Stegostoma tigrinum: one gene and its partners. The protein of the gene in region 1 purifies or fractionates together with the protein of each later gene. This does not show direct contact. Links are inferred from orthologs where the notes say so. Each region holds a gene or a part of one and is shown on either strand. Other genes may lie near its edges. The genes, in order: copb2, coatomer subunit delta and copg2.

The links.
Region 2: the proteins of copb2 (region 1) and coatomer subunit delta fractionate together in Homo sapiens (co-fractionation; 5 studies listed by BioGRID and IntAct, with this or other methods). This does not show direct contact. The link is inferred for Stegostoma tigrinum from reciprocal best matches to the Homo sapiens genes COPB2 and ARCN1.
Region 3: the proteins of copb2 (region 1) and copg2 fractionate together in Homo sapiens (co-fractionation; 4 studies listed by BioGRID and IntAct, with this or other methods). This does not show direct contact. The link is inferred for Stegostoma tigrinum from reciprocal best matches to the Homo sapiens genes COPB2 and COPG2.

What each region holds. Positions count from the first base shown.
Region 1 is NC_081367.1:20,776,939-20,784,192, forward strand, and holds the start of copb2 (coatomer subunit beta'), read left to right. Parts: upstream 1-4,233; 5' UTR 4,234-4,363; coding exon 4,364-4,366; intron 4,367-7,254. UniProt on the Homo sapiens protein: The coatomer is a cytosolic protein complex that binds to dilysine motifs and reversibly associates with Golgi non-clathrin-coated vesicles, which further mediate biosynthetic protein transport from the ER, via the Golgi up to the trans Golgi network.
Region 2 is NC_081385.1:4,853,412-4,861,483, reverse strand, and holds the start of coatomer subunit delta, read right to left. Parts: upstream 3,006-8,072; 5' UTR 2,851-3,005; coding exon 2,848-2,850; intron 1-2,847. UniProt on the Homo sapiens protein: Component of the coatomer, a cytosolic protein complex that binds to dilysine motifs and reversibly associates with Golgi non-clathrin-coated vesicles, which further mediate biosynthetic protein transport from the ER, via the Golgi up to the trans Golgi network.
Region 3 is NC_081378.1:15,783,115-15,790,281, forward strand, and holds the start of copg2 (coatomer subunit gamma-2), read left to right. Parts: upstream 1-4,128; 5' UTR 4,129-4,233; coding exon 4,234-4,279; intron 4,280-4,287; exon of another isoform or gene 4,288-4,379; coding exon of another isoform or gene 4,380-4,416; intron 4,417-7,167. UniProt on the Homo sapiens protein: The coatomer is a cytosolic protein complex that binds to dilysine motifs and reversibly associates with Golgi non-clathrin-coated vesicles, which further mediate biosynthetic protein transport from the ER, via the Golgi up to the trans Golgi network.

The DNA of each region.
Region 1 (7,254 bases):
TCATGTATCCAGAGTTTAGGTTGGATTTGTGGAATGGCAGTCCTTTCCAGTCTTTGCATCACTGCTTCTGCTATGAGTCCGGAGATAGGCAGTCCATGGAACACATTGAACTACATCCCATATACATTCCACTATGGAGGAAACCCAGAAGTGAGGCGATCCATTGCAACAGACCCCAGAGTTTAAAAACCAGGCGGCAAAACACACCGACGCTTCATCAGAGGCTGCACTGAGGATGTTACCCAGCACGGTAATGAAACATCTGCGGAACAACAAATCAGCTCAGCGAACCAACCAACCTCAACACCCACACCTACAAATCTACTCCAAAACTAAATAATGTTATTGAGGAGCTGTTTTATATTAACATAGTTGAAAATGATAACAAGCAACTAACATCTCGTCTGAAGGAATAGCAGAAACAAGGGAAAGTCTCATAAAAAGCATTACACTGATAGCTGTGACAATGGGAGGTTGTAAGGCCTTCAGTGCCCATGAATTGGCTCCATTATGGGGAATTTAATGCTCTAAGAAACTTCGAGTGCCATAGCATCCACTCTGGGGAAAACTTTGACTACAGTTTGAAAGAAACAGTTTCTTTATAATTATGGCTTTTACATTTTTCCAATCCACATCATCCACTCTTTAATTTGGTTCATTTACTTGGATGCTTGTGTGTATATGTTGCAGGTTTTAGTAATGTTTACACTTTAAACCTAAGTGTTTATTTTTAATTAACAAAGCAAACTCGTTATTTCCTTACTCAAGGGATCTGGCTGACTTGTTTCCTCATAACTTTATACATGGTTGAGGATATACTGATTTGAAAATGTGCATCATTTCAAAAAAATCCAAGATCTTTTACCAACTTCAGGCTTGAAAAGAAAAGAATTCATTCACTGGACTTGGTTGAATAATACAATTAAAAAGATTAATTCAGACTATTTCCTAACAAGGAATTGGAGGTTATCAAGACTAAGGATAAAAGTTGGAACTCACAGTGTTTATTGGCACCGTTTCACAATTGTGCCTGTGGTGTAAATACCTTTGAGACATGATTTACTGTCAGTTCAGAAGAAAGATTTTGCCTGCGCTGCTGGCACTTTAAGAAGCCTGGGCTCCTGGGGAATACAAGCTTCCACATTCTTTTTTGTTAAATATATCCGACATCTTGCTTGATGCAGACAAAATGATGAACCCTGTTCATTTGCACTTTTTTGGTTGAAATACAACTGAGGAACACAATGTGTATAATTCACATCCTGAATATTCTGCTGGTTGTTGTCACTCAACATCACCACACAATCAGTAACTTCCCTGAGTGCATTGTCTCCGTTTCCTCCAGCATGACTAGGGTGTTGCATGTTTGTCTGAGTTCGTTGCTATTCCTTCATAATTTATCACCATGCTCAGGAAATATCAGGTATTATCTGGGCTGGTGGCATGTTTGCTGTATTTCTAACCCATATTCTTTGCTCAGTTTTGACATTTCTATCACAACAAAACAAAGTTGCTGGAGAAGCTCAGTCGGTCTGGCAACATCGGTGAAGGGAAAAACAGAGTTAACGTTTGGACCCGGTGACCATTCCTCAGAACTGGGAACTCAGAACGTTAACTCTGTGTTTCCCTTCACAGATGTTGTCAGACCTGCTGACCTTCTTCAGAAACTTTACTTTTGATCTTGACTTATAGCATCCACAGTTCTTTCAGTTTTTATTTGGTATTTCTATGCCTGATAACTCATCACGTATCTCTTTCATTCTATTCTGTTTTTGAAAATAAAAATGTCTATGCCTCAAAATGCTTAGATGTTTGGTTGCTGGACAAGGCTGTTCCAATGTATCTTTGAACATAAGTTCTTCTGGGTAAGGTAAACCATTCCCCACTGATGTTTCAGGAAAATGTAGTAACACAATTCACAAATCTCTCTTTGTTGTGTGACACTTATTGATAATGGATTTGATTGTGTTCTGTTACACTGTTAGAATATGAATAATAGAGTGACAGTGTGATATGAGTCATGATCCACTTTATACATATCCCTTGATTTGTCAGGGAACGATAGTCGACAAAATAAAGAACTGTGGACGCTGGAAATCTAAAATATGAGAACAGAAAGTGCTACCAAATCTCACCAGGCCTGGCAGCACCTATGGACAGAAATCAAAGTTAACATTTCAGGTTCAATAATCCTCCTTCAGAGCTTTGAAACGTTAACTCTGATTTCTTTCTACAGATGCTGCCAAACTTGCTGAGATTTTTCAACAATTTCTGTTTTTGTAACTGCAGTCCATTGTCAGACACTATCCATTTCAAGATACAGAATAAACTGGAAGTAATGCTTAAATAAAATCAAAGACCTGTAAATGTCAGCCATCAGAAAGTATTGCTCCACGAGTCAACAGCTGTCACATTAGTTGTGTTTCTAAGGTTTCCAAATAATAGGAAATTTGGAAAAGTAGTTAGTCTGAAGAACGTGATATTCCCCATGCACTATGACCAATTCTGGTGATATTTTTGCCTAAGGAATGGATGAAAAATTGTGTGGATGTAAACATTCCTGTGCTGCTGGGGTTGATTTATTTGGCATCCCTCACATAGTCATTGAATATCCTGATTCATCACTGGCTTATATACATTAATTGGGAAGGTACGTTCAGTAGCTGTATGCCCCTGGTGTAACATGGAAGTATCTTGATGTAATGCTTTCAGAGTTAGAACCATTATGCATTTGAAATGAGTTGTTGTGATAAACCAAGTCCATCTCTATACTGTCAAAATGAACAAATCCTACCGCGCATATCTTTAACACTGTTAGCCAATCCCGCGACAACAGTGTTTTACAATATTTGTTAATTTTGACATGTCTGTTGCAGTTTCACCCTGGTCCTGGTCAAAGTGAAAGAGTTCAATCTTGAGACCACTTCAATCTCACAGTCTAAAGCATCAATGTGAAAGTCAAGAGGTATAGCTTAGTCTTTATGTGGGTTGGATAATCTGCACAGCATGTCAGACCCATAATTCACTTCAAAGTCACATCCTTACACCTTGACAAGTAGATGCTTGAATGGCTGTGGTGCACTTATTAGCAATTTTCAGCAGATCATTTACAATGGCTTATGATCTTTCAACAGTGAACTTTTTGCCAGTTAAATATGAGTGAAACCACAGAATGCCAATTAGCAGGCTTAATGTCTTATGTTCTTTATTGGAATAATTGGCTTGCAGAGATGACAGGCTTTCAGAATGAAAAACAATAGCTGTATCATCTTGCAAAAGACACATATTGAAGCCTTTGCGTGTTGTATCTTTTCATTGGGTCATTGTATTGCAATAGTAACACTTTATTGTTAGAACCTGCTTGAGAATATGGAACACATTGGTGATCATCTTTCCACAAGTGGAGCTATCTTTCTTGAACAAATCTCTTAACAGACATCATCATCAACAGCAACAAAGACAAAGTGGCTGATAAAGCTCAGCAGGTCTGGCAGCATCTGTGGAGGTGAAAACAGAGATAACGTTTCGGGTCCGGTGACCGTTCCTCAGAACAGATATATCTTGTTCACTCGGTCCGGAAAATACAGTGAAAGAAGGGTAAAGCAGGGGTTCTGTGAGAATCCAGGAATGCACAAAAAAGGGTAAGTGCCAAGAGAACAAGCAAGCAGCTCTGAAATGGTCCAGTCTGTGAACCCGGGCACCTGACCCTGCCCGCCAAGTGTCACACCCACAGTACTGCAATACTAGATGCTGGTGTGCTCCAAAGTGCAGCATGGCAATGCAGAACAATGTGTGAGTGGATTAGAGATGTGCCATAATGGTCTGGAAAGGCTGGCTAACATTGGATGTCGACACACATGAACGTCGGGTCTCAAAACGAGCGCTGTGTCCGCAGTTCCCCCAACCGGAGAAGGGTGTGTGTGTGTGTGTGTGTGTGTGTGCGCTGAGGTCCTCCAACGGCAGGAGGCGTTGTGTATTCGCAGGCCCGCGACAGGAGTGGGCGGTGTGCTGGGACCCTCCTACCACAGGGGGCGCTATGGGCCGAGGGGCGGTGTGCGCTATGTGTTGAGGACCTCCTACCGCAGGGGGCGCTGTGACCTGTGGGCCTCCTCGCGGACGGCGGTGTTGTGGGCTGGCGTCTTCCGCGCCGACGCGGGCATTGAGTGCTGAGATCCTCCTAAGCGGAGGGGGCGCACCGTTCGGAGGACCGTCTAGGGGATGGGGCGCTGCGTCTGATTGGAGCGGCGTCTCTCGCGAACGTTGCGGAAATCCCGTGTTTCGTGGCTGAGGAGGAAGCTCCACGTCAGAGGAGCCATCAGTCCGGCCGGGCCTGGGTGTGGGCGCAGGCTGAGGTGCTGCAGCGATGGTGGGTACGCGGTTGTTGACTAGCAGTGGCTGGCGAGCGGGTAGGGAGCCTGAGCCTGACTGTGGGTGCAGGAGGTTGTGGCTGCTGGAAGTCTCGTCCCTGTTATGTCAACCACAAAGTGCCCTGCCCCACAGGCCCTAAGTACAGCCGCGGAGGGTCCCCGGTGTGTGAAGGCCATCTGTATGTATATGGTGCTGATACGAGGGCCAAGCTCTAAGGCAGCGAGAGGAAGGTGTAGGCTGGAAGGGACTGCATCTGCCCGGCCTCTTGTTCTGTAGTTAAACCCAAATACTGCGGAGGCTGGGATATGAAGTTAAAAAAAACACTGGAAACAATCAGCAAGTCTGCTAGGATCTGAGGAGAGAAATCAGAACTCCTCTTATTGCTCACCGTTTTGAGGCCCGTGCTGTGAACAGGGCCGTCAGGGGTTAGTAAGTAAATTATGTTTTAATTTAGAGATAATGGGAACTGCAGATGCTGGAGATTCCAAGATAATAAAATGTGAGGCTGGATGAACACAGCAGGCCAAGCAGCATCTCAGGAGCTGCTCCTGAGATGCTGCTTGGCCTGCTGTGTTCATCCAGCCTCACATTTTACTATGTTTTAATTTAGGCGTGTTTGTATCCTATTAGACATTTAAGTCGTTATAACTTCTAGCCATTGAATCCACCGCTAGTGAGAACTGAATTCCTGAGTAGGTACATAGTTGAAGGTTTGAGGCTGTTGTAACGCAGAAATGAGGTCGAAGTGTATCTATAAACAGTGTTAAGAAGATGAATTGTCTAGGACACAACCTGTTTCTGTTGCTGTTATACCTAATGAGTTTCACCATTTTTAGGCTGGATTAACCTGCATTCAAGAATTGTAAGCTGTGGAGGAATAGACTGATTTGAACATGACTGTTGTTTACATAAAAAGTCATTAATCACTTTTTGATGTGAGATTGAAGTAGACAGATCAAGTTTTTGTTGACCACCACTCATTTCTGCTTCCACATCAAAAGTTGTGTACTTAAGATTTGTGTACTTAAAAAACAATTTTGCAAATAGTGAATTCCTGCAATGTGATGACCCTGCATGAGTTGTAAGAGAGCATTTAAATTAGGTTGATGCATACTGCCATGTGATCAGTGGGAACAGATGTGGGCCATTGGGCCCGTCAAGTTTGCTCTGCCCTTAAATGAAATGGCTGATCTGATAATCTGTCTGGTATACAAAAACAGCATTAGCTGGAGAATCTCTGTGTCTTGCAGCATCTGAGGAGAGAAAGTAGCGTCAGTGTTTTGGGTCTGGCGACCCTTCTTTGAAATGGATTTTAGCTAGGAAAAGGTTGGTATGTGCATTGAAGACAGGACTCTATTTTGAGACCTAAAGGCTACAGAGTCTCCAAACAGAAAATGAGATGCTGTTCTTCTACCTTTGCTGAGATTTGCTGGTGCAAGACAGCAGGCTGAACTCTGAAATGTCAACTGGGGAACACAGCGTGACATATTGAAGTGGTAGGCAACCTGAAGCTTGGAGTCATTTTTAGAGTCTGAACATTGTCCATGTCCGACACCACCAACCCCACTCCCTGCCCCTGCATACCAGGCTGTGTCATCACATGGGCAGCTTTCACCACAGCCAATCTTTTTTCAGGCACTAACGGTCCCCATTAGCAGCTTTTCTTTTCTCATAAAACTGAGACTTGTAGAATTGTGACAGTATGGAAACAGGCCATTCAGCGCATTAAGTCCACACTGACCCTCCAAAGAGCGTGCCATTGAGAACCCTCCCCAATCCCTTTAACCCTGCACTTACCATGTCTAATCCAGCTAGCCCACGCATCCCTGGACACTTTGGACAATTTAGCATGACCAATCCACCTAATCTGCACATCTTTGGACTGGGGAGAAGACTGGAGCACCCAGAGGAAACCCACACAGACACAGGAAGAATGTGCAAACTCCATGCACGTTCTCCTGATGCAAGAATTGAACCTGGCACTGTGAGGCAGCAGTACTCACCATTGAGCCACCATGCCACCCCTTGGCTGACCATCATCCATTCTGTTGTCTGCCCCAATGCTGCTGTTCTCTCTGGTCTCCATCTCTAGCTATTGTTTCCTTTGTTGCCTGTCAAATTGTAGAGCATTCTTGGGAAATGATTGCTGTGTTTCTGTGTCATTCCCTCTGGAGTCCTAAAGATGTGTCATTCACATTCTCATTCACGTGCTGCCTGTGACACCATTATTCAAGACTTCTCTATTGTGCTGTCAGACTGTTTATCTGACATGTAGTCTTAGGAGTTGCAATTTCTATTAATTAGACATGAGGAATATCAAATTTCTTGGCATTGATTCATGTCAAAAACTCCTTGACATTGAATTGGCGCCCTTCGCCGACTACTGTCAAATAATGAACTGGAGTGTTAAAGTTATGATACAAGTTGATTGTTAAACTTGCAAGATGTTTTTAATTTTAGTGACTATGGCATGATAAAATTCCATATCTCACGTTTTTCTTTGAGTGTATGTAGGGAATTGGAAGTAGTTGCTTAGAAATTCAAATGCCGTAGGATTGAATGGATTAATGGTGGATTTAAACCATTGTTAGTAGAAATACTGTTTTGCTGAAATGTTTATTTTGTTTTTCCCTCTCTTGAATGTAATGACTTGCTCCATATGGCTCAATAGAAGGTAATGTCCATTTGCTATCATGTGTGAGTGGCTCATTGTGTATGAATGTGCACGGGGAACGTGATCGGCTGTTGTAATGTTAAGTTTTATGAACTTGTCTGGTAACAGTCTGCCATGACAATTCTGTATAAAGATAGGAATGTTGTTTACAAATTTATGGACCTTTCATGACCACAAATTATTCTAATGTAGTTAATAGGTTAATACATCTT
Region 2 (8,072 bases), on another chromosome or scaffold:
GAAAATGCAACATAAATACAAGACGTTTCTTTCCAATCAGCCAGGGCAGCCGGTCCACAAACTGCAGTCCCAGGCAACTTACCTGAACAATCTGGTAATTTACTTCTATTTGCACCTCAAAAAAAACTTGCACATTTTTCCTCTATTGAGCCTACAATTTCAGTCAGTTTATAGTTTTCCCAATGGCAACGTGTTAAAATTCAAATCACCTGGCATTCACATTTCAAGCGTATGCAAAATTAAGTAAATCTTTGCATCCACATGACGCAAATAAATAGCAAGTGGTTGAGACACTGAGTTAGACTGATAAATGCAACAGCAAGTCTCTTAACATTACTAATATTATATCAGGCTTGTGAAACACTGGCTCACTGTCACACGGCCTACACCTCCATCCTAAACACTACCTCCAAGCCACTGTGGCAGAAATCACAATGGGACCATATGGCCCATCAAACCTGCTGTACCATTCAATAATGTCATGACCGATTTTCAACCTCCACTTTCTCACATTGTCCACATGTTCCCTGATTCCCTTAGGGCTGCAAAGTCTAATGAAATTAATTTGAGCATAATGACTGAGCATTTTTATCCTTCCATGGTGCTGACAGCCTTTACATCTTAGAACATGGAATAGTACAGGCCCTTTGGTCCACCATGTGTATGGTGACCAGATGCCATTCTAAACTAATTCCATCTGCCTGCAAATGGTCTACATTTATCTATTCCTTGTCTGAATGTCTGTTAAACATTGGTATCATAACTGTTCCTACCACCTCCCATGACAGTGTCTGTCAGACTGCCCCAATACTCTAGTAAAAACAATACAAGTTGACCCAACCTCTCCATATAGCCAATACACCGCAATCCAGGCACTGCCCTCATAAATTAACATTTTGCTCAATTGCTTTTATAAATCCATGAGAAATTGTTTTGGCTGACCATCCTAACTGCCCTTCAGTGGTAATGCCTTCTTGATCAGTTGCAGTCCATGTGGTTGTGACCTAGAGGGAGACAGTTCCAGGATTGACCCATTAACAGTAAATGGCCTGTAATTAATCTTGGTTAGCCACAGAAACATGGTGCAGATTTGCAACGACCTGAAATCATAACCAATTCCAACCATGACTAATTCTATGATTATTACACATTCACAAAAACACTTTATACAGTACAGGTCAATAACATCGAACAAAGCACCAGCGGCTGTTCATTCCATAGCTATGGCTTTGGCCAATTGCTGTCTTGTCCAAGGTAAGTTTACTCAGTAAAAACGTGGGATCAAACTGGAAATTCTACATTCTATATCACAGCAAGTCTGCTACACACAAAAGCCCAGAGAGCTGGGAGTGCGTTTCAAGAAAACGGATAACATTTGACAAGCTTTAAATTTCCGTTTAACAGAAGTACATCACCAACACGTAGCTTTCTAAAACTTAACACACCATCTGCATGCCTTTGTGGTAAATAGCTACACAACAGCCACGTAGGAACCCCAATTTCTGAACCAATATAGGTGTTAAGTGTGAGTTATGATTGAGTTCCAAACAGCAACATTGTTGCATCTTTCAGAACTGAAAAGGCAGAATTGCAGCCTGAGCCATTTTAAGATCAAAACTGTAACTTTTAATCAACACAAGTATTGAAATGACATGCAAGTTATAAGATTTCACACAAGTTTCACAAAAACTGATCACATTACCAAAGATTTAGATTTTTTTTAGTTGATAAGGAGATGGAACCCCAAGTTTAATTTTCCCTGAGCAGTACTGGACCATCAAAAAGATATTTATAACAGAAAACTACTATGAAGACAGTGAGGCCCATATAGCTCAGTGATAGCAATTCAAAAACTCAAAGTTCACCTACTGTACCTTAGACTTACTCAACTTCGATGAGTAAGTAAACAAGCGTAGAGGTAAAGTGTCCATAATGCTGTCTTTTGAAAAAAAAAGTCCATTTTAAGACATAATTTGAATTATTCTCAAACAACATCACAAGGTGAGCTAGTAATACTTCAGTCCTGGACTGTTGCATACGAAGTGATGATGTGTCACATCAATATGGTGAAAAAATGCAACAGGCCATCCCTACACCAAACAGGAAGGGGTATGAAACAGACTTAATGAGAAAGGAGCAAAAAGGTAAACGGTTGAAATTAGACACTGCTGGAAATACTGAAACTACTGTTTTTAATCATGTGAAAAGGCTCTAAGGGTTTCCAAATAAGACCTTAACTCTTAGACTGCCTAACAATGAAATTGTTCCATTTATTTATAGTCACCCCAGGATCACGAAATTGAGCATTTTGATGGAAAATGGTAAACGTGCAGAAGTTTTTACAAATGAAAAGTCATAGTTAAGCCACTCCTAAAAGCAGTCTGACTTTATGGGTTGCAAGGAGCTATGTCGCATTAGTTTCAATGCTAATTAAGACCCACGAACAACGTTTAGCAACAGTGGAGAGAGATAGGAAGATGAAGGGTGTAAACCCGAAACGTCGACATTCCTGCTCCTCTGATGCTGCCTGGGCGGCTGTGGTCCTCCAGCTCCACAATATATTTAACAACAATGTCCTTCTTTAAAAGGGGAAGAGGCCAGTTCTGTTCTGTATTTAATGCAGTTTCGCTGTGATATCAGCCACGCCACCGTTTAAAGGCCAGTGCCGGGGTTAATTCAGTAAGATGACCCGTGAAACGGGTTGCTCAGTGCAACGGGGGCCGATACAGAACGGGACTGAGTTCTCAGGAAAGCTCTTTGTGGGCACTGCGGCCTACCCTGGGCAGGCCCAGCCTGACAGCCAGAAGTGGAGCACGGCTAAAGCCACGAAGCCTCGCGCTTTCTTACCATCTTCGCGTCCACCGGAGGCCTCTCCTTCGGCCGGCTGCTGTCGTTGCTACACCTGTGAGGAGATCGTCGCCAAGTAGCGGCGAGTGGACGGTGCACAGTCAAACCGAACCTGCGGCGATCCCAGCGCCGGCAAGATGGCGGCGGCGGCCACGTCTCCAACCGGAAGTGAGGGACCCGTTCGGGTCAAAGGGTAGCAACACCTCCCCATTCATGAAATCCCAGACTGTATCCCTAAGAATTATATACCATTTACCCTGTATCCCCAAAAATATATACCATTGGCACTGTTGCCCCTTAATATATACCATTTACCCTGTATACCCACAAATATACACCACTGAGACTATGTTCCCATAATGTAAACCATTCACTCTGTATCCCCAACAAATATACACTATTCACTCTGCATCCCCACGAATTATGTACCATTCTCACTGTATCCTCAACAATATATACATTCACACTGTATCCCCAAGAATTATATACTATTCACTCTGTATCCCCAATAACATATACCATTGACATTATCTCCAATAATCTATACCATTCATTCTGTATCCCCAAGAATTGTTTTGTTTTATTCATTCACAGAATGAGTGCATTGCTGGCTAGGCAGCATTTATTGCCCATCCCTAATCACCCAAAGCACCATTAAGAGTCAATCACATTGCTGTAGGTCTGGAGTCACCAGTAGACCAGGCCAGGTAGTTTCCTACCCTAAAGAACATTAGTGAACCAAATAAGTGTTTCCAACAATCAACAGTGGATTCACGGCCATGATTAGATTCTTAATTCCAGATATTTTTATTGAATTCAAATTCCACCATGGAAGGATTTGAACCCAAGTCCCCAGAACATTATGTGGGTCTCTGGATTAACAGTCCAGTGATAATACCACTAGGCCATTGCCTCCCATTATATACCATTCATTTTGCTTCCTCAAGAATTATATACCATTTTCACTGTATCCCCAATAATATATGATTCACTCTTTATCCCCAAGAATTCAATGCCATACACTCCATACCACCAATATATATCATTCACACTGTATCCCCAAGAATTATATCCCATTCACTCTGTATCCCAAAGAATTAGACACCATTCATTCTGTGTCCTTGAGAATTATATATCATTCACACTGTATCCCAAAGAATTAGATACCATTCATGCTGTATCCCTAGTAATTCAATACCGTTCACACTGTGTCCTGAGGAATTATGTACCATTAACTTTGTATCCCCAAGAATTATCTACCATTCACACTCTATCCACCAAAATATAATGCCATTCACATGATCTCCCCAATTATTACATATAATCAACTCAGTATCCCCAATAATTAAATAGCATTCACAATGTATTCCCAATAATTCAATGCCAGATGTAATGTAACATTAATTAAATATGATTCATACTGTAGCACTGTAATCCCAATACTTCAAGGAGGTTTATCAGGATGCTGCCTGGACTGGAGGGCTTGTCTTACGAGGAGAGGTTGACTGAGCTCGCACTTTTCTCTCTGGAGAGAAGGAGGAAGAGAGGTGACCTGATCGAGGTGTACAAGGCAATGAGAGGCATGGATAGAGTCGATAGCCAGAGACTTTTCCCCAGGGCAGGATTGACTGCCACGAGGAGTCATATTTTAAGGTGTTAGGAGGAAGGTATAGAGGAGACGTCAGAGGGAGGTTCTTCACCCAGAGAGTTGTGAGCGCATGGAATAGTTTGCCAGTGGTAGTCGTGGAAGCAGAGTCATTAGTGACATTTAAGCGACTGCTGGACATGCACATGGACAGCAGTGAATTGAGGGGAATGTAGGTTAGGTTATTTTAGTTTTGGACTAGGATTATTCCATGGCACAACATCATGGGCTGAAAGGCCTGTACTGTGCTGATCTTTTCTATGTTCTATATTCTATTAATACTGTATCCACAAAAATTACATAACTATCATGTGTCCCAGTGATTCAATATGGTTCACAGTATTCCCAGTGATTAAAAAGCATTCACACTTAATCCTAAATAATTATATACCATTCACACTGTTTCCCCAATTATTACATACTATTGATCTGTATCCCCAATAATGCAATGCCATTCACATTGTAACACTGTAGCTCCAATAATTAAATACCATTCACTCTGAACTACTGCATCCCCAGTAATTAAATACCATTCACCCTGCAGCATTGATTCTCTCTGAACTTCTGGGTGGTGGGGTTTGCACAATTCTAATGTAACCGGAACACCAGAGTGTGTTCTGCAGACATTGGCTTAAATCCAAACATGGCAAGTATAAATATTTTAATTCATGGAAATCTGGATGAAAAACCAGTCTTATGATGACCAGGTAACCATTGTTGATGGCTATTAAAGTCCACCTGGTTCAGTAATCTTATTTAGGAAAGGAAATCTGCCATCCTAACCTGGCCTACCCTATATATGATATCAGAACCACAGCAACGCAGCTGACTTTTAACTGACCTCGCGGTGATTATGGATGAGTTATAAATGAATGCTTAGCCAGTGATGCCAGCTTTTCCTGAATGAATTCTGTTTTAAGTATACAAAAGTATACTTATATATAAAAGTATAATTGTGATGCATGTGATTGACAAGCAACTATTTAATTGTCCTAACCATGAGTCAGATTTTGGGGAATATTCACCCCACTGAAAGTTCAAACAAAACTAAGTAAACTTTGTGATATTTTCATTCTGGTTTTAAAACATTAAATTAATTCCTTTATCAATGCAAAAATTGGATCTTAAAAGTGCATAGGAAATGCACATGGTGAAGTAAATGCATTGAAACATTATACAATATTCCATGAAGTTTCCAATATGTGGCTTTGTAATTTATTGTTGAAATGAAAAGCTTTATCGAAATGGGAAAACTGAAATTTAAAAGAAAACAGCAAACTCACCGTCAAATCAAAAGCATCAACATCACAATAAACCTCATGAAAGTTTGTGACATGTATGTATTTCTGGTTCAATATCAAAATAAAATCCTTTGACAATGGTGCAAATTTAAATGATTTTTGACAAAAGCTGGAATTTACATTGCCAGGTCAATAGCCTGGAAAGGAAGGCCAATATCCTTGCATTCACAACCAGATATAATCCACAATAAAAACAGAAAATATCAAACTGAATTTGAAAGTTAACAGTTAACTTTGAGTGTAAGGTAAGTTCTGCTGTGCCCAAATTGTTATTCATCCTCTGGGAGCTGGATAGCTCATCTGACTTGTAGGTATGATATTCCTATTGGCTTAAATAAACAGCAATACACAAACAGGCCATTTGGCTCAGCCAGTCAGTGTGGAGGTTTATTATTATGATACAAGTAGCATCCCTCCATGTGCTCATTCTGTTTCCCCTATCCTGTTTTTTATTCCCTTGCCCTTCAGCCACGAAATTAAGCAATTCTTGACATACTCTCCGCTTCAACCCCTACATTTGGTAGTACATTCCACAGGTTCGTAAAGCTCTACCTAAAAACGCGTCCTACTGCTCTCATCCTTAACTGTTTTTTGTTCCCTCAGTCTAGATCTCTCATGACTGGAAATAAATCTTTCTTTAATTTTGCAAAATCTGCTAGATTCAGGTATATCCCATTAGTTTGAAAGATAATGAATGTAGCTCCTTTATTCAACCAAAAAGAATGGAAACAGATGCAGGAAACTGCAAGCAAGTTTGGTTAACATTTGTCATAGGGAAAATGTTTGGACTTATTATCAAACAGCAGTGCGTTTAGAACAATTCAAGATTATCACACAGAGTCGACATGGTCTTGAGAAAGAGAAAGAGAAATGATGTTTATTGGAGTTCTTTGAATAGGGTAAGGCGAGGTGATGGCCTAGTGGTATTATGACTGGACTGTTAATCCAGAGACGCAGGTAATGTCCTGAGGACCTGGATTTGAATCTTGCCACAGCAGATGGTGGAATTTGAATTCTCCAAACATCTGGAAGTAAGAGTCTAATGATGACCATGAATCCATTGTCTACTGTCAGGAATAACACATCTTGTTCACGAATGTCCCTTAGGGAAGGAAACTGCCATCCTTCCATTGACTCCATCTACACTTCCCATTGCATTGGGAAAGCAGTTAACATAATCAAAGACCCCTCCCACCCTGGTTATACTCTCTCCCAACCCCTTCCATTGGGCAGAATCATAGAATCCTAGAATCATAGAATCCCTACAGTGTGGAAACAGGCCCTTTAGCCCAACAAGTCAACACCAAACCTCAAAACATCCCACTCAGACCCATCCCCCTATAACCCACCTAATCTACACACCCCTGCACGCTATAGGCAATTTAGCATGGCCAATCCACCAAACCTGCACATCTTTTGGACTGTGGGAGGAAACCAGAGCACCCGGAGGAAACCCCCACAGACACAGGGAGAATGTGTAAACTCCACGCAGACAGTCGCCTGAGGGTGGAATCGAACCCGGGTCCCTGGTGCTGTGAGGCTGCAGTACTAAAGTTTGAAAACATGTACCAACATATTCAAGAACAGCTTCTTCCCTCCTAGAGTTATCAGACTTTTGAATGGACCTCTCATATATTAGAGTTGACTTTTGCACCTTCTCTGTCCTATTACCCTGGTGTACTTATATAAGATATGATTTGCCTGGTGAGTAGACAAAACAAGACTTACCACTGTATCTTGGTACATATGACAATAATAAATCAAATCTTAACTGCCTCACTGTGAATGAGGAGATTTATATCACTGTCATTTTTATCCATGCCAGTTCTTTGTTGGATTAATCCAAACAGATCTCAACACTCTGATCTCCCCGCATAACCTGCGATCTGCAGCTTCAAATATTTGTCTATGTTTCCTTTAAAAGATTCAATAGCTGTTTCCACTATCCACTGGGACTGTTTTCTGGGACAGCATGTTCTATATGTAATGAAAATGATTACTGATGTTGACAAAGTAAGTTCACAATGAGCTGAATAAACAACAAATTTGATTTTTGCGCTAAATTACAAAGAAAATTTCCAATTCTTCAACCAGGTGCTGGTATTTATCTGAAAAACTGAAACAAGGAAATTAAAGCTTGATGTAAAAGTATATCTCACGACTAGCAATCACTTGTGAATGAAATTCAGTGTCGCTGGTCACAGGCTCTGTGGGTACTTGTGCCACTGATAAGCCCAATCCTAGAGTCACATCTCTCACTACATATTTGGCTGCTGTAT
Region 3 (7,167 bases), on another chromosome or scaffold:
CTCCAAAACTTTCCGCTTTAATTTCTGTGGCTGTAAGAGCACATTAAAGGCTGAGATTCTGCATCAAATAACTTACCTCCTGACTCCTGAAAACCTGTCCATCATCCATAAGGCACAAGTCCAGGTATGACAGAATACTGTCCGTCTCATAGGGATACTTGTAGTGTAGTGGTAATGTCCTTACCTCTCGGCCAGAATGATCCTGGGGAGGAAGGGCTTGTCATATGAGGCACGGTTAAGGACTGTGCGTCTGTACCCAATAGAGTTTGGAAGGAGGAGTATTGTGTGCAGTTTTGGTTGCCACATTACCAGAAGGACCGCTACCATCGCTGGGCCCACCTGGACAATTTTGCTGTGACGCCCTTCCGCCGCAGCTTCACTGCCAGCAGCACTGGACCCAACCAATAAAGAAGTTGTCAATCCTTAGACACCATGTTTTGCTGCTATGCCTATCTCAAGCTTTGGAGAGAGTGCAGAGAAGATTCACCAGGATGTTGCCTGGTCTCCAGGGCATTAGCTACGAGGAAAGACCAAAAAGGCTAGGATTGTTTTCACTGCAAAGACGGCAGCTGAGGAGGGACCTGATAGAGGTTTGCAAAATTATAGAGATATAGATAGGGTGGACAGCCAGAGACTATTTTTTCCCAGGGTTAAAGTTTCAGTTACAAAGGGGCACAGGTTCAAGGTGAGTGGGAAAACATTTAAGGGAGATGTGCGAGATACGTTTTTCATGCAGAGAGTGCTAGGAGCCTGGAATGCACTGCCAGAGAGGTGGTGGAAGCAGGCACGTTGGCAACATTTAAGAGGCATCTGAATGGTTATATGAAGGAGGGATACGGACTGAATAAGAGCAGAAGGTTTGTATTTTAGTTTAGTCAGGGGATGATGATCGGCACAGGCTTGGAGGGCCGAAAGGCCTGTTCCTGTGCCTTACTTCTCTTTTGTTGTGTTTTTTTAAATCACACTGAAACTTAAAGAATACGGAGAGGCCTGGAGTGAGTGGATGTTGGGAAGATGTTTCCACTAGTGGGAGAGACTAGCATTGAGGGCACGGGTTGAGAGAGTAGGGAAGACTCTTTAGAACTGAGAAGAGAATTGGACTTCAATTTTAAATTTTCATATATGGAATATATTTTTACTTTTCCAGGGTAAGCACAGGGCTTGGCATTGATATCAACAGCTGCTAGATTGGTGATGACGTTGGTGAGATAGGCATAGCAGCGAAAGATGGTGTCTGAGGATTGACAACTTCTTTATTGGTGGGTCCAGCGCTGCTGGCAGTGAAGCCATGGCAGAAGGGTATCACAGCAACATTGTCCAGGTGGGCCCAGCGATGGTAGCAGGTCTGGTGGAGGTGGCGGTGAGGCACTGGCAGAGGAGAATCAGCCCAGCGGCATAAGATGGGGCCTGAAGAGTGGCGACTTCAACGTTGGTTGGGTCCAGGGCAGATGGCGTTGATGCAGCGGGGGAGGGATGGTGATGCAGGTGTCTTGGATGATGGCTTACGACTGATGGACTCTCTTTAAGCTATATCTTTCTATTTCTTTCTTATACTGAACATTTTTCAAAATGGCGCCAGATCATTGTGACAGAGGAAAAGCTTTTCACTGTATTTTACTGTATTTTCACTGTAAAATACACATGACAATAAATCATAAATCTGAGCTGGTCAATTTTTTATTAAGTACAATATCAAGGAATACGTACACCCTCTGGCAAACATAAGGCATTAGGTCACAGATCAGCCATGAACTTATTGAAAGGCAGTACAGGTTTGAGGGGCTGAATGGCCTACTCCTGTTATTCGCTCTGAAAGGCAGGGGTCCATGTATATTAAGCTACCAGCTAATCCGATACATGGGGCTCTATTGTATACAGAAATAATGGGAACTGCAGATCCTGGAGAATCCGAGATAACAAAGTGTGGAGCTGGATGAACACAACAGGCCAAGCTGCATCTTAGGAGCACAAAAGCTGACGTTTCAGGAGCTGGATGAACACAGCAGGCCAAGGAGCATCACAGGAGCACAAAAGCTGATATTTCGGGCCTAGACCCTTCATCAAAAAAGGGGGATGGTGAGAGGGTTCAGAAATAAATAGGGAGAGAGAGGGAGGCAGATTGAAGATGAATGGAGGAGAAGATAGGTGGAGAGGAGAGTATAGGTGGGGAGGTAGGGAGGGGATAGGTCAGTCCGGGGAGGATGGACAGGTCAAGAGGGCAGGATGAGGTTAGTAGGTAGGAAATGGAGGTGCAGCTTGAGGTGGGAGGAGGGGATGGGTGAAAGTAAGAACAGGTTACCTCATCCCGCCCCAATGACCTGCCTGTCCTCCCCGGACTGACCTATCCCCTCCCCACCTATACTCTCCTCTCCACCTATCTTCTCCTCTATCCATCTTCAATCTGCCTCCCCCTCTCTCCCTATTTATTTCAGAACCCCTTCCCCATCCCTCTTTTCTGATGAAGGGAATGGGCCCAAATCGTTAGCTTTTGTGCTCCTGAGATGCTGCTTGGCCTGCTGTGTTCATCCAGCTCCACACTTTGTTACATGTTGAAATGTTAGCAAATGAGGATGGTGAGCCTCTGTAGGTTTTGAGCAGTCTGTCAATTTGAGGGGTGGCAGGGCTGTGGGATAATAGGCTGTCAGTCATTGTGAGGGGCAGGGGTCTGAGGTAATGAGTGGGCTGCGATTGTGAGGGGAGGGACTCTGAGGTAATGAGCAGTCAGATGTTGTGCAGAATAAAAATAAAGTTGCTGGAAGAGCTCAGCAGGTCTGGCTGCACCTGTGAAGGAGAAACAAACAGAGTTAATGTTTCGGGTCCAGTGATCCTTCCTCAGAACAGTCATTGTGAGGGGCTGAGCTCTGGGGTAATAAGCTGTCAGTCATTGTGAGGGATTGGGCTCTAGGATAATGAGCAGTCAATCATTGTGAGGGGTTCGGCTCTGGAGTGATGAGCTGTCAATCGTTGTGAGGGGCGGGGCTCTGGTATACTGAGCTGTTAGTCATTGTGAGGGTCTGGGCGATGGGGAACGGAGCTGTCAGTCATTGTGAGAGGTGGGGCTCTGTGGTATTAAGAACATAAGAACTAGGACCAGGAATAGGTCATCTGGCTCCTTGAGCCTGCCCCACCATTTAATAAGATCATGGCTGATGTTTTTGAGACTCAGCTCCACGTACCCGCCCACTCACCATAACCCTTAATTCTTTCACTGTTCAAAAATTTATCTAGTCTTGCCTTAGAAACATTCAGCGAGGTAGCTTCAACCGCTTCACTGGGCGGGGAATTCCACAGATTCACAACCTTTTGGGTGAAGAAGTTCCACCTGACCTCAGTGCTACATCTGCTTCCCTTTATTCTGAGGGGATGCCCTCTAGTCCTAGTTTCACCCGCTAGCGGAAACAACCTCGCTGCCTCTACCTTATCTATTCCCTTCATAATCTTATATGTTTCTATAAGATCTCACCTCATTCTTCTGAATTCCAATGAGTATAATCCCAGCCTACTCAGTCTCTCCTCATAATCCAACCTTCTCAATTCTGGAACCAACTGAATGAATCTCGTCTGCACCCCCTCCAGTGCTGGTATATCTCTTCTCAATTAAGGTGACCAAAACTGCACACAGTACTCCAGGTGTGGCCTCACCAGGACTCTATACAACTGCACATAGCCTCCCTGTTTTTAAACTCCATCCCTTTAGCAATGGCAGACAAAATTCTATTTGCCTTTTTAACTACCTGCTGCACCTGCAATCCTACTTTTAGCGATTCATGCACAAGGACACTTAAGTCCATTTGCCACGCAGCGTGCTGCAATTTTTTACATTTAAAACATAATCCATTTTGCTGTTATTCCTACCAAAATGGATGACCTCACACTTATCAACATTGTCCTCCACCTGCCAGACCTTTGCCCACTCAGATTATCTATATCCCTCTGCAGACTTTCAGTGTCTTCAGCACGCTTTGCTCTACCACTCACCTTAGTGTCATCTACAAATTTCGACACACCATACTTAGTCCCCAACTCCAAATCATCTCTTGTAAACAACTGTAAACAAATATTGAGCAGTCACTGTGAGGGGCGTGTCTCTGGGATGCTGAGCTGTCAGTCATTGCGAGGGGCGGGCCTCTGGTGAAATGAGCCGTCAGTCATTGCGAGGGGAATGCCTGGTAATCCAAAATAAAAAGCAGAAAATGCTGGAAATCCTCAGCAGCGTGAGAAAAGAAATAAAGGATGCTGGTCGTGAGCGAAATTTTTTATGGGAGCTGTTTTGAGAGCGGTTAGTGATGTGGGCACGCCCTATTACTGTCAATCGGAGTGGGAGGGTGTGGTCAGGTGCTGTCTCCCTGACGACGGCTTCTGGATTCGATGCTGTAAAAATGTTGAAGAAATTCGATAAAAAAGATGAGGAGTTGGGTTAGTGATTTTGTTCTGGACGCAGAGTTACCGTTCAGCCGTTAATTCTTTACTCTCGCTGTAAATGACCTCGTTGTCTGTGGGAGTCAGGCTGCGGGCCCTGTCCGCGCCCGAGGGCTGGTCAGTAGAAGCCGCCGACCCCGCTCGGGTTTACCGCGGGAGAAAGGGGTCTGTGTGTGGGTCAGGCTACGGTGGGAACAGTTTAAACATTTACCCTCGGATACCTTTTCTGCTTATTATACGGAGAGGCATGTGAGAGTAATACATGGGACAGTGAGCTGCTGCTATTGACCATCTTTATTGTCGAGAGTTTTAACTGATCGGTGTCATGAGAGAGTACGATCAATGGCGCACTGCAGGCGATAGCAGATTGAAACTAAACGGATTTGTATAGATTCGGGGCGGGTACTGGTGATTGTCTAGCCAGTGTGCTGATAAGGTAGTGGTTAGGACAGTAACCACTACATTGTAGCAACTGAAAAATCCAGTGCCCTGGGATGGCTGCCAGGCACAATTTATTATCCTTCTTTTTGTCCCCCAATAATGCGTCTTAGACGCTGTCGTATATCTTAACATGCCGCTCTTCAGTGTTTAAATAGCAAATTCCACTTGAGCTTTAACAATATTTGGTGTTTCCATAGTGCATTTGATCACTGCTTCTGATCGGTCATACCTCTGCTCTAGTATCTCCAGTCTGAATAACACCAAAGATATACCTCCACTAATGCTGTGTTCTCCTGCTTCCAATTCATCCCTTCCACTGGTCATTGTGATGCCTCAGATAACTATGTACACCATACACAGCATGACCTGGACAGTAGTCAGACTTGGCCTGCTTAGTGGCATGTAACATTTGTGCCAGGCAATGACCATCATCAACAAGTGAGAATCTAATAACCTCCATTTGAAATTCAATGGCATTGTCATTGCTAAATTCCCAAATGGCACCTTTAACCAAAGATTCAATGGTCTCAGTCACATAAATACTATGGCTCTGAGAACAGGTTGATCAGATATTCTGCAATGAGCAACTCACTTCCTGACTTCTTGAAATCTTTCTACTATCTACACGGCCAACTCAGGAATGTGCATTCCAGAATGAATGCAGTACCAACAATATTGATAATAATCCACACCATTTGGGATAAGTATGATTGAAACCCCATCCACACTCTTAAACATTCACTGTTTCCATCAACTGTAGCATCTATCTTCATTGGGATACATTGCAGCAACCCACTAAGGCTTCTTAGATAGCACCTCCTAAACTCTTGACTGCTACCAACTAGAACAAGCATATTAGAATTTCGACTGCCTGCATATTCCACTCCAGATCACAGTTTCTTGAATTAGAGATGTGCCATCTTTCATTCATTGTTGCCAGACAAAATCTTGCAATTCCATACTCCATAGAAGAAATGGACTGCAGCAGTTCAACAAGGATGTTCACCACCATGACTTTTCCAAAGCAATTACATATTGGCATCAAATGCTGTCCTTGCCAGTGACAACCACATCCCATGAACATGTAAAGAAAAAGCTTTTGCCAGTTGTGCTTTCACCTGCCCTGGGCACTAGCCCTGAAACTCCGAAACTCCCTCACTAAAACTTATTGCTTATCTCTCTCAAATTTTTGGTGATTATGTGGAGGTGCTGATGTTGGCCTTGTCAGGTGAAGTCAGCTGTGAAGGAGCAGCACTCCAAAAGCTTGCGATTTTTAAATAAACCGGTTGGTCTATAACTTGGTGTCATGTGACTTCTGACCAAATCTTTGGTCATCTGATAATATTTGTATAGATGGTACTCACTCGCAGTTTGCTTGAGAATGTTATTATGAAGCACCTCAAGATGTTCTACTAAGTTAAACAGTAACATAACTTCAAGTTACTAAAATTGATGTTTGGTTGCTCATTCAGTGAGAAACATACCAGTGCTTGGCTCTTAAACTGCATTGCTGTATGGCACTGGCCTTGCATGCACTTGAATGTTTCCAAGCTTTTTCTCAGCCCATGATCTTTACCATCGAGAAGGACAAATAGCCCAATTATGAGTATGCTACAGTCTTTGCAGTAAGTTTCAGTTTGAGATAAGCGTTTAAATTTAAATAAGGACGTGAAAGCAGAGCTAGCTAAAGTGAACTGGCAAGTTACATTATGGGAACTGCAGATGTTGGAGAATCCAAGATAATAAAATGTGAGGCTGGATGAACACGGCAGGCCAAGCAGCATCTCAGGAGCACAAAAGCTGACATTTCGGGCCTAGACCCTTCTTCAGAGAGGGGGATGGGGTGAGGGTTCTGGAATAAATAGGGAGAGAGGGGGAGGCGGACCGAAGATGGAGAGAAAAGAAGATAGGTAGGGAGGGGATAGGTCAGTCCAGGGAAGACGGACAGGTCAAGGAGGTGGGATGAGGTTAGTAGGTAGGAGATGGGGGTGCGGCTTGGGGTGGGAGGAAGGGATGGGTGAGAGGAAGAACAGGTTAGGGAGGCAGAGACAGGTTGGACTGGTTTTGGGATGCAGTGGGTGGAGGGGAAGAGCTGGGCTGGTTGTGTGGTGCAGTGGGGGGAGGGGACGAACTGGGCTGGCTTAGGGATGCGGTGGGGGAAGGGGAGATTTTGAAGCTCGAAGTCCACATTGATACCATAGGTCACTAGGGATACTGTGGCTGACATTAAGGGGATATTTCTGTATTCACAATAGATGCATTCCAATGAGAAATAAAGTTTAAGAGGAAGATCCAGCATCCGTGGTT